Linked DNA regions of Elephas maximus indicus. The protein of the gene in region 1 interacts with the protein of each later gene in a biochemical or structural test. Links are inferred from orthologs where the notes say so. Each region holds a gene or a part of one and is shown on either strand. Other genes may lie near its edges. The genes, in order: REPS2 and EPN1.

Region 1 (7,698 bases):
CTGTTAACCCAGAACTAAAACCACTCCCAAAGCCAACTCTTCACAGATTAGACTATAAGACATTAATGATACTTGTGAAGAGTGTGCTTCTTAGCTCAAGTAGATACATGAGACTAAATGAGCAGCTCCTGTCCAGAGACGAGGTGAGAAGGCAGAAAGGGATAGGAGCTAGGTGAATGGACACGAGAAATCTGGGGTGAAAGAGGGAGTGTACTGTCACATTACAGGGATGGCAACTAGGGTCACATAACAATGTGTATAAAATTTTTATATGAGAAGCTAACTTGAGCTGTAAACTTTCACCTAAAGCACAATAAAATCAAATTTTTTAAGAAGAATATAATCCCATTTATGCAAAGGCACTCTGCCTTGGGTTCTTTTAAAATCACATATGCCTCAAAGGAGCATGGGTTCTAATACCAAGAAAGCCCCCTCCCTGACTGCTGAAGAGTCAACAGCACATTCACACTGAATTTGCCCACCTCCTCTCAACACAGTGTACTGCCACTGCCATCCAGTCATTCCGACTCATAGAAACCCTACAGGACAGAGTAGAACTGCCCCGTCGGGTTTCCAAGACCGTAAATCTCCACAGAAGCAGACTGGCACATCTTCCTCCTGAGGAGCGGCTGGTGGGTTCAAACGGCCGACCTTTTGGTTCATAGCTGAACGCTTTAACCACTGCGCCACAGGGGCTCTTCGCTCAACGTAGTACTGACAACACAATACGCCTGAACAGGTTCCCAGCTGCAACTGACTGGCTGTGTGATCTCAGTCACTTATTCCTCTTTCAGCTGGGAAGTAGCTACCAGTAAAAAAACCCGTTGCCCTTGAGTCAATCCAATTCATGGCGAGCCCATGTGCTTCAAAGTAGAGCTGCCCTCCCCAGGGTTTTCATAGCTGTGACCTTTCAGAAGCAGACTGCCAGGTCTTTCTTCCAAGACACCTCAGGGAGGATCTGAACTGCCAACCTCTCTGTTAGCAGCCGAGTGTGTTAATCTTGTGTACCACCCAGGAACTTCATGGCAGTAGCTATGGCCTTTAATAAATACGTTGTGCTTGAGAGTATCCTCAGGGCCTCACGTAACAGCCATGGTTTATGTTTTAAGACACGACTTTCCCTCCGAAGGCTTCAGAGTGACTTACAGACACTGCTTCAATGTCCATGAAAACCATGCTATCATTTTACAGATGCATACACCGAGGCGCTCCAACTCAACTGCTAAACAGCAGTAGCAGAACTGTCTACATATTGTGGACTTCTTTGGGTACAAACAGCCATGCTAACATCTGTGAATACTAACACCATCTTCAGAAATCCTAACTTCTAAAAGGTGGAGAGGTGCCCTGGTGGTGCAATGGTTAAGCACTTGACTGCTAACCAAAAGGTCTGCAGCTGCAAAGGCTCCGCAGGACAAAAGATCCGGCGATGTGCGTAAAGATTTCATCCTAGGTAAAACCCTACAGGGCAGTTCTACTCCGTCCTATAGACTTACTAAGAGTCGAAATCGACTTGAAGGCACTCAACAACAAGACACTCACAAACATAAGGGCATAAGCACACTCCAACAGCAAAAAACACAGTCGTAAATGAATAGAAAATACCTACAAATAGTGATATTGAAAATGAACCACAAAACCCTCAATACTCCTTTGGAACCAGACTTTAAAATATCAATCACCACTCTAAATATTCTATTGGTGTCAATAACTGTAAAACTGAGAATTGATTTTAAGAAAAGCTTCATTTCCCATTCTGTGCCTGGTATTAAGAATCTTATCACCATGAAGTGCTGGCGGCATCCAAAGGCAAAGTGCGTATCAAGTAGTCTTTCTCCAAGGAAAGCATAAAACGGCATCTGCTGTGGCTCAATCCCCGCCCCCCACCCGCTTTTCCAGGTTGGGGGTGGCGAAAAGGAGGGAGCTATAACACTCGTTTCCTTCCAATTCTATTTCAAGTTCAAGTAATGCTAAGATCGGAAGCTACAGCTGCTCTCCACAGTGTACGTCTGGGATACACCTCCAGCTCCAAAATGGCAAGCTTGGCTTTGACTTGATAGAAGTTGTCTCGCAGCCCTGTGTTCCTGCTCTGAAACTTGTCTTTAAGGTTTTCCAGCTTAATACTAATACTAATACTAAGAAATAGGTGAGTGGACAAATACATCTAGTAGCTATGTGTATGCCGTACAAGTATACAGAGGACAACATTTAGTCCTGGGCCCCCAGCCCTACAGGCACATACCTCCTTCAAGTTCAAATCCCAGCAAGGCACCCTGAGCACCCCCACTCCCTTCCCATCCGCCTAGGGGAGGGAGGGGCAGGAGAGAAGAGCAGAGGTTAACCCAGACACCAGCCAAAACAAACACCACTTCCAGAACAGGGCAAACTTTGAGTCTGGGTGGCTGCAGAGCCCAGAAATGGCCAGGGGGTGGGGGGAGTGTCAGCCCGTCTCCAGGAAGGAAAACCTACAGCGCACCCAGCCTTGTGAAGGGGCTGAGCTGTGGAGGAGCTAGGTGTCCCCGGGGGTCAAGGGCGTCGTCGCCGCCATCCCCGGCTGCGGAGCCCCATCTCTGCTACCTGGCCGAGGCCTCCGGGCCCCTGGCCGCCCCGCCCCCACGTTCCTGCAGACACGGTCCCCACCGACGCGCAGGAGCAGGGGCCGCAGGGTCCTACCTGGTGCAGCGTCTCGGCGGGCAGCTGCGACGCCCGGAACAGGTCGGCCACCGGGCCAGCAGCAGCCGTGGCTGCGCCGGGGACAGCGCGGGCGGCCTCGGGGGGTCCGGAGGGGCCCCCGCCCGCGGCTCCGGCGCAGCGCGCGAACAGCTCGGAGTAGCACTGCTGCTCGGCGTCGCTCAGCAGCAGCGGCGGCCCCGAGCCGCCCCCGCCGGCTACCTCCATGGCCTGCACGACCCGCACCGCCGAGCCGGCTGGGGCCTCGCCACCGCCCCCACGCCCTGCAGCTGCCGCCGCGCCGCCGCTTCCTCCGGCGAGCGCCCCGCCCCCGGCTTGAATGTTGTGCCTCCGCCGCGCGGCACATGGAGACAGGCCCGTGCCGGCCAATCGCCGCCCGGGGGCGCCCGCACCCGCCCCGCCCCGCCGCGCCCCGCCCCGCCCCGCCCGCGCCAGGTAGCTAACTGGCGCGCTGCCCGCCCCCTGCCCCTCACCTGCTGGGCCTGCGCCGGGGGCTCAGCGCCGCGCCCAGCTGCGCAGGAGCGCCGTCTTGATCGCTCCGCCCTAGCTGGAAAGAGGGCCGTCTGGACCCACCTGGAGAAGGACGAGTTCAGGGACGCAGAAGGCCGTGCTTTCTCCCTAGGAGGGTGGAGCAGGTGTGGTGCCCACGCCGCGCCAGGCCCTTCCCAGAAAAGGGATGTGGCATGGGAAAGTTGATTTCCTTCTTTCCATATCAGCACTGCTTATGTCCTGAAAAGCTGCAGGACAGGGATCCCCATCCGAACGAGGTCGCAGTGGCTCCCCATAGCAGTGACTCCCCATAGCGTTCGGGGTGGCAACTGGGTTAAGCCACTTTCTCAAGAATGCTTCAAACCTGAGCTTGAGCCTTAACAAGGAATAACATAGGATGGTGTTAAATATTTAGTGTTAAATATTAGAGTAATAGGAGCAAAAAAGTGAAACGCTCCGCAAGAGGAAAACCTGGCAATCGGCTCATAAAGATTACAGCCAAGAAAACCCTATGGGGCAGTTCCACTCTGTCACATGGGGTCGCTATAAATTGAAATCGACTGGAGGGCACCTAACAACAACAACAGAAACAAAAAGGTCCTTTTGGGAGATCATTTTGTCCAACTCCTTCTTTTACAGATGAGGAAACAGTGCTATTTGATTTGCACCTTCATTCATCCAACACTGGTTGAATATCTACTGTGTAACAAGGAGCTCTGGTAGAGCAGTGGTTAAGCGCTCAGCTGCTAATTGAAAGGTCTGTGGTTGGAACCCACCAGCCGCTCTGTGGGGAGAAAGATGTGGCAGTCTGCTCCAGTAAAGATTACAGCCTTGGAACCCTATGAGGCAGTCCTACTCTGTGCTAAAGGGTTGCTATGAGTTGGAATCAATTAGATGGCAACGGGTAAAAGGTTTATCCTCTAAACCAAAAACCAAACCCAATCAATTGCTGTGGAGTTGATTCCGACTCATAGCAGCCATATAGGACAGAGTAGAACTACCCCATAGAGGTTCCAAGGAGCGCCTGGTGGATTCAAACTGCTGACCTTTTGGGTAGCAGCCGTAGCTCTTAACCACTATGTCACCAGGGTTTCTGGTGTATCCTCTAGGGCCTGAAAATACAGGCCTCAGTAAGAGGGGGTTGGTGCCCCCCAAAGGGAATGTTTCTTTAGGTGGGAAAACAGTCATGTTTTTTTAAAAGGCTGCAAGACTTGTACAAGTTCACACCAAAGTCAACACTAGAACCTACATCTTTAGACCCCTGCCCATGTGACCCTCCATTTCTCTCCATTCTAAAGTGTGCACACTATATTTTTCAAATCTGCTTGCTCCATCGTCAGTTCCCTTGACTATTGCTCTAGCCACTTTTAAGAGAAAGACTTGAAAAGACTCCACTGGAAGGAAAATGTTTACCCCACCACTGACTGCACTGGCAATTCCATCATCAGGCCTGCATATTTGCATCTCTTTTCCTTTTTTAGCACACTCGGCTGCTAACAGAGAGTTTGGCAGTTCAGATCCTCCCTGAGGCGTCTTGGAAGAAAGACCTGGTAGTCTGCTTCTGAAAGGTCACAGCTATGAAAACCCTGGGGAGGGCAACTCTACTTTGAAGCACATGGGATCGCCATGAATTGGATTGACTCAAGGGCAACGGGTTTTTTTACTGGTAGCTACTTCCCAGCTGAAAGAGGAATAAGTGACTGAGGTCACACGGCCAGTCAGTGGCAGCTCTTGAAATGTCAATATTCCTGAGAAGGATGGCAGAATTATATTCATTAAGCCTAGCTGGGAAATACTAACCAAAGGGGAAAAAGAAATCAGTCCAGGGTGAAGCACCAATAAAAAAAAAAAATTCCATTTTAGAAATTGCTTTAATAAAGAGATATATAAAACTTTTGCCCCAATAGTTTTAATTAAAAACAGTTAACGGGAGAAACAACTCAGAAAAGGAGGGTGAGCATCGTTGCACGACTCAAAGAATGTAATCAATGTCACTGAATTGTACATGTAGAAACTTAAGTTGGTGTATTTTTTGCTGGGTGTATTCTCAATAACAACAACAAAATAAATTATTTGTATAAATAAATTAAGAACAGAAAAAGACATCTCAAGAAATACCACTGATGATAATAAATATACCTTGGTATTATGGCCAACTAAAATAAGGATCAAGGACAGAAAAAGATAAGAAGGAAAAATAATCAGGAGATGATCAAGATGAAAAAAAAAGGGATAGAGGAAGAGCAATACATAAGAAGGAAAAGGAAAAATGTCAACTTCATAAGGATGGCCAGAGCAATGTGTCTCTTTCGCAATCTGAAGAAAGATTCAGATCTCCCAGAAGAGAATTAAGATATCAATAGGCTTGGGAACAAGGGTACAGAAAGGGTAGGTAAGTTCCAAGCAGTGAAGACTAACTTAGCTTAGGAATTTCCGTTTCGAAATCTCACCACCTTTGTATTTTCCACTACTGTAATACCTTCCCATATCACCAAAATTTAAAATATAACTCAAATAGTCAACATCATCCTAGCTCCTTAAGCATCTACACTGGAGTCAGGAAAAGTAGAAGCCAAGAGATAATGCTATTCTCTTCTTACCTTTCTAGTCCACCACCCATCTGTCAGTTTTGATGACTAAGGTGCATCTGACCCAAGCCATTGTCTTTTCAAACACTTCATATGTATGCGAAAGTTGGATAATGAAAACAGAAGACAGAAAAAGAACTGATATGTTCCAACTGTGGTGTTGGCGAAGAATACTGAATATACCATGGGCTGCCAAAAGAATGAACAAATCAGTCTTAGAAGAAATACAATCAGAATGTTCCTTAGAAGTGAGGATGGTGAGACTTCAACTCGCTTATTTTGGACCCATCATCAGGAAAGACCAATTGCTATAAAAGGATATCTCGTTCGGTAAAGTAGAGGATCAGTGAAAACAAGGGAAACCATCAGTGAGATGGATAGAAGTGACAGCCGCAATAATGGCCTCAAACATCTCAAAGATCATGGAGATGGCATAAGACCAGGCAATGTTTCGTTCTGTTATACATAAGGTCATCATAAGTATCAGCCATCTAGACAGCAACTAAAAAAACAACCTTTCCAGTTGTTCTCAGGCTTCCCTGAGAGTGGCACACCATTCGAACAAAGGTTGCAAAGGGACCCCCCCTCTCCATGATAAACACCAAACCCTACTTTCCCCTGTGACTCATGGCAAAGGAAATGTGAGATACAAGAATATTTATAGTTCATATAGTGATTGGTGACTTTTCAAAGCACTTTCATACACATTATTCATTTAAGTCTCACAATAACTCTCTGAGGTAGGCTGAAGACACTTTTATCTCCATTTTGCAGATGAAAAAATGGATGCAGAGTTGATATGATTTGCCCAGCTGAATACCCAGTTCAAAGCTGATCTTCTTCATTACTCAACTCAGTTTAATAAATCTGACAGATACTTATTAAGCTGCAGATACTGCAGAGATAGGTCAAGAGTCTCCCATCTGTACCTATCAATCCATCACTCAGACAACATGTATTGGTGGAACAGGAAGCATTTACCATGGCCCTACTAGAGTACTGTGATACACATACACATTCACACAAAATGTGTTCTTTCAAGGAGTATGCAGCCCTCGTGAAAAAGAGGAAACAAAAACAAACAATAAAAGACAATATATAATTAAGTGCTAAATTGTGCACCCCAGGCTAAGTGCTGTGGGAGTTTAGAGAAGAGAAAAATCCCTGAGCTAGAGCCCAACCAGGAAGGCTTGATGAAGGGGCTGGTGATAAATGGGTGGGGTTGGGGAAGAGAAAGGACAGGACAGAGAGGTAGCATCACAGGAGAAGGAGGAGCCAAGGAAGCGAGGACTAGAGGGACAGCAGTCCTGGTGGTGCAAACGGTTAGGCGCTCAGATGCTAACTGAAAGGTTGGTGGTTCAAACCCACCTAGCGGATCCACAGGAAAAAGACCTGGCAGTCTGCTCCCCGAAAGATTACAACCAAGAAAACCTTACTAATCTGTTATATGGATACGGCGTGGCGATGAGTTGCAATCAAGTCAACAGGCACCCAACAACAACAATAATACTGGGTAAGGAAAGACAGGCAGCCCTGAAGGGCTCTGAGAAGCAGAGTGAAGGCTGTTCGCTCGAGGATGTGAAGCGATCAAGCAGCAGTGATTTAGCATGTGTGTTTTTATAAACTTGCTTTTAAAAAAATGTTTCATTTCTTAGAGCAGTTTTAGGTGTGCAGAAAGTACAGAATGTCCTTAGGCCCCCCTCTTCCCCTCACACTGTTTCTCCTATTGTTTACATGGTGCATCCCTGTGGTCCATTTGTTACAATGGAGGAATCACTATGATACATTAGTATTAACTGAACTTAGGGTTCACTCTGCCTTCTATAGTCCTATGGGTTTTGACAAATGCATAATGTCATGTGCCCACCATTACAGTATCCTACAGAATAGTTTCACTGTCTTGAAAATACCCTGAACTCTACCTATTCAT
Region 2 (7,895 bases), on another chromosome or scaffold:
GGCGTTGAGGTGCCCGGCTGTGGAAAGGTCAGGGCAGCCAGGGGCTTGGCATGCATGTCCTTGTGTGTGCCTGTTGCTCCGTGTGTGCGTGTCCTCATGGGTCTACCTGTGTGTGTCCCCTAGTGTGTGTGTGTGTTCCCATATGTGTATCTGTACCTCACGAGCACGTGTTCCTCTGTGTACCCGTCCCTGTGCCCATGTGTGTGTCCTCATGTGTGCCTTCGTTTGGGCATGCATCTCCCCACATGTGTGTCTCACACACACACCCCCCACCACCATCACTACTGAGTGCCCCCTCTGGGCATGGCTCCAGGGAGATTCTGGGGAGCTGAGAGGTGTGTGGCCCACTGGGGCCCCCTTGGTGGATAGCCATGTTAGCAGGCAGTTGGGCATACAGCGTTGTGGCCATGAACCTTGGACTCTGTATAGAGGTCACCTTGGTGCAGAACCTGGCTCTGCTGCTGCTGCTTTACGTCATCTTGTGTAGGTGACACTTCTCTGAACCTTGGGTGCTTTGTGAAGTTTTAGAAGCTGCAAACTCACTGGTGTCCACTCTGTGCTCGTTGCCCTGCCTGAGCTGTGCATATTGCATATGTGACTGTTCTCACAGCAGTGCTCCCTGATCTGTCTGGGGTTGCAGCCAGTCCCTGCTACAGGAGGAGGTGTGGGTACAGAGAGGTCACAGGCCACACAGGCATGGGTGGAGCCCCCGGAGTCCCATTGTCCCGGCTCTGTGCACTCATGGAGGAGGAAGATAGTAGCCTCTTTCGGCTGCTTTCTTGCCCCCTTCTCACTGGGTGTGGTATAAATGGCCGGAGTCCTGGAGGGTTCTTGTCAGGGCTGCTCCAGGTTGTGGTCTGGTGTCTAGAATGGAGCCTGGCTCAAAGTAGGGGCTGAGCGAGCACTGGTGGGAAGCAGGAAAGGAAGAACCCCAGGCTCTGGCATTGCCAACCTGTTTTGTTTAAATATAATTTGTGTTGTTGAGAATATGTATAGCAGAACATATACCAGTTTAACAATTTTTACATGTACAGTTCAGTGGTGTTGATTACATTCTTGTGCAGCATTCTCACCCTCTTCTGAGTTCCCCCATTAATGTGAACTCACTGCCCCCTAAGTTTCCTATCTTTCAAGTTGTCAATTTGATCCCATGTAGATTTTTAAAATTTTAGCCTTTTCTTCTTGTCTTCATTGGTACTGCATTTCCTGTTACTATTTTAAATTAATTCTGTTGTTGAGAATATACATGGCAAAACATACACCAATTCAACTGTTCCTACACTTAAAGTTCAGTGATTACATTCTTTGGGTTGTGCAACCATTCTCACCCATGTTAATGGGAGAGTTGTTCCTCTCCCATTAACATAAATTCACTGTCCCCTAAGGTTCCTATCTAATCTTTTGAGTTGCAGTTGCCACTTTGATCAGATACAGATGGTTAAAGATACAGATAGTTGTTAAAAGAGCATAATTCTCAAGGCAGACTTTTTTTTTTTTTAACTAGTTAAGCTAAATTGTTGTTTGGTTTTAAGATGATTTTAGGTTTAAGGTTGATAGTTTGCCTCAGGGCAGTAGTTTTCAGGGATTCATCCACCCTCCGTTGCACCAGAAAATCTGTAGTCCCTGAGAATTTGACATTCTGTTCTGCATTTTCACCTTTCTGATTAGGATTCTTTTATGGAATCTTTGGTCAAAATGTTCACTGATAGTAGCCCAGAACTCTGCAGCACTTCTGAGAAGTCACTGAATTGTAACTGGCAAGGGAGGCAGTTGTTCATGGAAGCAAGTAGCTACACATTGCATTTATGCCTCCTATTCCTGACTTTTCTTTTTACCTCTTTTGCTCCAAGAGAATAGAGACCAGTTGTGCCTTGGATGGTTGCTGGCAAGCTTTTAAGACCCCGGGCATTATGCAGTGAGCTAGGAGGCAGAAAATAACATTTATAGGGCAAATAACTGGGATGTCTCATGAAACCATGACCCTAAACCACTAAACCCAGGAACCAAATTCCTTGAGGTGGTTCGTTGAATATATAAGCAGCTTCAGCAGCCAATTTTTGTCTTTTCTCTTGTCATTGTAAATATATCACAATTTCGCCAGCTCAACTTCTTACAGTTATGTAACTTGACAAAAACTACATTAATTGGCTTCGTAATTATCCCTTCCCTTAATCAGTGTGCTTTTTCCATCTCTCTAAACTGCAACTCATTTCTACATAAGCAGTAACTACATCTTGCCCCCTGCTGTTTTGAAACTTTATTGTGGACCTTTTCAAACATGCATAAAAGTAGAGAGAAAATATGACAGTATTGTACCTACCGTTACTTGAAATACTTCAGTAGGTTAATTTCTCAACTAGTGACATTTCAGGTGGGCTCATTCTCTGTGGTGGGAACATGCTGCACATTTCAGGATGGTGAACAGTGGCCCTGGCCTCTGCACAGTAGAAGCCAATAGCACCCCTGCCCCCAGTTGTAACTGCCTAGTGTCCCATCCTGGGGGACAATATTAGCCCAGGCTGAGAAACACTGCTTATTTTAATGAAACCATGACACCATTTATTTGAACAACATTAACATGGATTCCTTAGTATTTAGTCATTCCATGTTCATGTCCCTGTCTAATGTGTTTTTACAGCTAATTTGTTTCTGCAGAGATCCAAACAAGGGCCTCACCTTATACTTGGTTACAGTTTCTCCTAATTTCTACCAGTTCTACCCGCCGCCCCCCTTTTTTTTTTGGTCAAGCAGTTTTATTTGTTGAGGAAACGGGGTCATTTGTCCTATCCATCCCATTGCCATCGAGTCAGTTCTGACTCATAGCGACCCTATAGGAGAGAGTAGAACTGTCCCATAGGGATTCCGAGGAGCGCCTGGTGGTGGATCTGAACTGCTGACTTTTTGGTTAGCAGCCGTAGCTCTTAACCATTATGCCTTCAGGGTTTCCATTTGTCCTACAGAACGTTCCATGTTTTGGATTAAGCCCATTGTATCGTATCCCTCCGCCTGCCCCTCCAGTTTCCTGTAAACTGGTGTTAGAAGCGTTAGTAGATCAGGCAGTTTAGTTTTTTAACGTGGCTTTCTCTTCTGTCTTAGCTCTCCTTCCACTCTGGCTCTGAAGGTTATTGTTCCTAATTTCTGAGCGTCCCTTCCTCTATCTGTTGTCTGAGGGAGAACCTGGCCCTGGGAGTCACTTGGGGAGTGCCTCCCAGTGTCTATGCAGAGTAGACCTCAGCGCTGTTGCTCTCGGCCTCTGGGAGCTGGTGTGTCCCTTGTGTGGCTGTTCTCTCACTGATGCCTCTGCTGTGCAGTCTCTTGTTCCTGGGGGCTCTGAAGGAACTTGGAGTAAACGCCCCACACCTGCACCAAGGCCGCCTCTGTGCAGGCCCTTCTTCCTGCTGAGCCCTCTGTCCTGAGTGCTGGGTTTGTGTTCTTGTGGGTTGCTAGGAGTGTGCCCACCTGTTCTTCTGTCTGGCCTTCATACCTGCCTGTTGTTTCCACAGATCTTTGTGGAGTTCACCTCCGTGTTTGACTGCCAGAAAGCCATGCAGGGCCTGACGGGCCGCAAGTTCGCCAACAGAGTGGTTGTCACAAAATACTGTGACCCCGACTCTTACCACCGCCGGGACTTCTGGTAGAGGCGGCCGGGGGAAGGCAGGGCCAGGGCTGGCAGGGGGGCTTCCTCCCTTCCCGCCCCCCTCTTTTCCCCCTCTGAAGACGATGGGCAGAGGAGTGACAGCCGAGTGACAGCCGGCAGCAACTGGAATGGCAGCGATTGGGGTGGGGTGGGGGCGGGGGGATGGGGAAGTGTACACATGCGCCCAGCGCCCACAGACACACGCGCCCGAAGACACAGAGGGCAGGATTGGGATGGGGATGGGTGCACACAGGGCGGGTTAGGACCCCCACGCCCCTCCCCACAAAGCCTCTCTTCCTCCCTTGTACCTTCCCCTCCTCTTCCCCTTGGTAGGAACATAGCGTGTTTATATTTTATGGCCAAACTTTTGAATTTTGTTGTCCGGCCCCCAGTGTCCAGCCCCTTTCCAGGACCACAGTTCCTGCCCTCTTGGCCTCTGGCCCTTTCTGGTCGCTCCCTGGTTTCTTATGTAGTTGATTCTCTCCTCTTTAGTCTTAGCCAGACCTGTTCCCAACCCTGTGGCCCCTATCCCCCTCCTACTCTCTGTGGCAGTTTCATATTTGCTAAGACGAATTTGCTCATTAAACATTTTGTTGTATTTTACTTATGGAGCTGCTCTGTGTCTGGTCTGTCTAACCCTTTTCAGGGGGGTTCCTCTTGGCAAACTGGGGTGCTTGCCGGGGATTCCTGCGGGGGACGGGAGCAAGCTGTCCCTGACCCATGATCCCTAGCCCGTACCTGTCTGTAAAGCGTCGGGTATAGAGCGTGTCTCAGAGAGCAGTGAGCATGCAAGCGTGCCGCGGACTGGCCTTGGGGCCCCGCGGGGCAGCGGGCGGCCTCGTGAGGTCGAGGCCTAATGGCACCTGGCGGCGGGGCGTGGCTGTGGGGCTAGGACAAGCGGGGGCGCACTCAGCCCCCTCTCGGACGCCAACTTGAGTCTGCGGGGCGTAACCGGCTCCACAGTCCGCGAGGCCCGTGCACCCCACCTCGCGGCCGCAGCGGCGAGCGGAAGTGAGGTCAGCTGCGCCTAGCGACGGGCGCAAGAGGCCGCGCAGAGGAAGTGCGGATTGTACGCGGGTAGCAGCGACTGCGCAGGCGCGTCGAGGGCGGGTGACGCGGCCATTTCCGCTTCCGGTCCGTCACCTTCGGTTGCTTCCCGACTATTGAGCGGCTCCGCTCCCCTGGCCCGGCTCTCCGCGCCCCCTCCCGGGCGCCGGGGCGGCGGGGCGGTCGGCGTGCGGTCTCCGGAGCGTCCGCGCGTGCGTCCGAGCGCGCCTCCGCCTGCGTCGCCCGCCGCGCGCCCCGCGACACCGAAGCCAAGCGGGGGCAGGGGGGCTGACCGTCATGACCCCCCGGAGCCCGTCGTGAGGGGCCGAGGTGAGCGCGGGCTCGGGGCGCGGGGTCAGCTTGGGAGGCGGCAGGCGCCGCGGCCCGGGCCTGGGCGGCGGCGCGCGGACTTCGCCGGGCCTCGGGACAGGCTGGCTGTCCGTTCTCGGGTCTGGTCGTCTCTGCCGCCTTTGCGTCTCCGCGTCCGGGTCCCTGTGTTTGTCTTTTCGTCTTCTCCTCGGCCGGCCTGATCTCCTGTCTGTCACCGTCTGCCTCTTTTCTCGGCTTCAGTGTGTGCTTCCGTGGTGGTCGGTCTCTGTGTCGGCTTTGGTGTTCTTGACGTCCCTGTGTGTCTGTCTTATCTCTGTGTGACTGCCAATATTTCTCTCTGGGAGTTTCCGTGACTTCAGCTCCCCAGGTGTCCCCAGCCCTCCTCTAGATCCTCTTGCCTCTAGGGCTTCTCTTTCTCTTCCTGTCTTCACTTCTCACTTTTGCCCCCTGTACCACCACTTCCAGTCCCAAAGTCCCCGTCCACGAGTCTAGCTAGGATCTGACTCTCCCCATTCCCACCTAGTTTCCTGAGACTGGAATGTGGTGGTTAAGATCCCCGACTCTGGAATCTGAGACCCTACTGCTTGCTAGTTGATGGTATTTTGACAGGTGTTTTCTTTTATCCGTAAACCTCAGTTTCCTAGTCTTTGAAATGGGAGTAACAGTAGCTCCCACATGATAGGGTCCCTGTGCATGTTAGTTGAGGCGGTGCTTGTGAAGCACCTAGAACACTGCCTGGCAGGTAGACAGTGTGTAATTAACTGGAAGCTTGTGTAGATTTTCTGTTCCATTTAGTATGCCTTAGTAGTTTCTGTTATATTGTATTTGCCCGTACTGCCCCTGATATTTTTCTTCGAATCAGCTTAAATTTGAAAGACCAAGCCTCATTCTAAGCAAGATCTAAAATCTTAGCTTTGATGCACGAGATGTGTGCTTTTCCGGACGCGCTTTAGATAAATACACGCTGTTAATGCATCTTCGGATGCCACCCTTCTGGAAAGGTTTTTTGTTTTTTTCTCTGATAATAATAGCAACCAGCATTATTGAGCGCCTCCTATCTGTGGGGCCTGGAGCCAAGCACTTTATGTACCCATAGTATTTAATCAACTAGTCTGCCAGGTAGAGATTCTTTTCCTCATTATGGAGTTGAACAAACTCCCTCTCGAGGAGGCTGCTCTGCTATAGCTTATGTGCCAAAATTTGGATCTAAATTCCACACACTTTCCATTATATCCTAATTTTCTTGGGCCTTCTCTGTCCCAAGTCACTGCCTGTTTCTGTTCTAGGGCCTGTTTTTTCTCATTTCCCTGCCTGCGTCACTCATTGTCTTTCCCTGTTTCTTGTTGTGTCTTTGCTCATCTCATTGTGTCTGCGGGACTCCCGCTCTCTGCTTGTCTCTCTCAGTTTCTGTTCTGTCATCCCCTAATCTGCCTTTGTCACTTTTTCTCTTAGTCTTCATGTGTCTGGCTGTCTTGGGCCCTGGCTGTCTCTTGTCAACTATTTACATCTATCTCCGAGTGCCTGGCTCTCTGGCCTGAGTTCAAAGGCAAGGGCCAGCCTGTTTTATTCATCCCCATGGCCCTGGGGACTTACGTTGTTGTGGGGCTCAGCACCTGTCCATCAGTAGCTGCTCAGAGCCTGCTCGGGATCCAGGTTCGTGGGGATGACTTGTGTGCCCCTGGGAAAGGGCGTTTCCTCTCTCTGTCCTCCCCTGTAAGTGGCTCTGAATCCTGGGCTTGTTGGAAGGATTACCTGGGTTAGTGTGTATAAAGCACTTAGGAAAATGCCTGGAACAAGGTAAGAACCACGTAAGTGCTTAGTGTCATCATCATAAGGAGTCCTAGTGGCGCGTGATTAAAAACTTGGCTGCTAACTGAAAGGTCAGCAGTTCAAATCCACTAGGCTCTGCAGGAGAAAAATGTGGCAGTCTGCTTCCATAAAGTTTTATAGTCTTGGAAACCTTATGGGGCAGTTCTGTTCTCTCCTGTAGGGTCACTCTGAGTTGTAATCAGCTCGATGACACACGACAGCGACATTATCATCATTATCATTTGTTTGATTCCCTTCCTTTTGTTCTTGTGGCACTCATCTCAGCCCAGGTTAGTTTAATGTTGTTGTCAGCTGATGTCGAGCTGGCCCTTGGCTCATGGCGACCCCACACACATGAGATCAGACTGTTGTGACCCACAGGGTGTATGTTGGCCTGTTTCAGTAGTATATTGCCAGGGCTTTCTTAGTCCATCTTAGTCTGGAAGCTCTGCTGAAGCCTCCTCAGCGTCACAGCAACTTGCAAGCCTCCACTGGCAGATGGCTGGTAGCTATGCATGAGGTGTATTGACCAGGAATTGAACCCGCACCTCCTGCATGGAAGGTGAGAATCCTGAACCACCACTGCCCTCTTAATTTAGTGTCAGTAAATTTAAATGTGAGCAGTATATGTTTTGGAGGTGGGCCTAGGTATTTATCCCTATGCTGCCCTGATCCTGGGGTGTGACCTTGGTTGAATTGTTTAACTTTCACGAGCCCGGGCCCCTCATTTGTAGTCTTGACATGCTGTATGCAGCAGTGTTAAATGAGACAACAAATGTGTTAAATGAGATAATGTTCTCTCGGGCTGGCACACAGATAGGACCCAGTCAGTGGGGCTGTTGTACTCCTTATCTCTCTTCGCCTGGATCTTCAGCTTCTCACACCTTTGGGACGCAGGGTTCCCCTGATGTTCCCCCATCCTTTCGCTGCCCAGCTTTGTATTCTCTTCAGTGGCCCACTATCCCGGGTGTCCTTTTTTTGCCCTGAGTTCCTGCCTCCTCTACCCCCATTGCTCCAGAGGCCTTTCCTGCCCTCCCTCTTTCCTTTCTTGCCTTGACCGGTCATTGAATGT

The links.
Region 2: the proteins of REPS2 (region 1) and EPN1 form a complex in vitro, tested with the Homo sapiens proteins (3 studies listed by BioGRID and IntAct, with this or other methods). The link is inferred for Elephas maximus indicus from reciprocal best matches to the Homo sapiens genes REPS2 and EPN1.

The regions. Positions count from the first base shown.
Region 1 is NC_064846.1:162,639,078-162,646,775, forward strand, and holds the start of REPS2 (ralBP1-associated Eps domain-containing protein 2), read right to left. Parts: upstream 3,004-7,698; 5' UTR 2,899-3,003; coding exon 2,674-2,898; intron 1-2,673. UniProt on the Homo sapiens protein: Involved in ligand-dependent receptor mediated endocytosis of the EGF and insulin receptors as part of the Ral signaling pathway. By controlling growth factor receptors endocytosis may regulate cell survival.
Region 2 is NC_064829.1:91,322,116-91,330,010, reverse strand, and holds the start of EPN1 (epsin-1), read left to right. Parts: upstream 1-4,770; 5' UTR 4,771-5,014; intron 5,015-7,895. Other genes in the region: U2AF2 (splicing factor U2AF 65 kDa subunit), read left to right, coding at 1-27, 3,504-3,638. UniProt on the Homo sapiens protein: Binds to membranes enriched in phosphatidylinositol 4,5-bisphosphate (PtdIns(4,5)P2). Modifies membrane curvature and facilitates the formation of clathrin-coated invaginations. Regulates receptor-mediated endocytosis.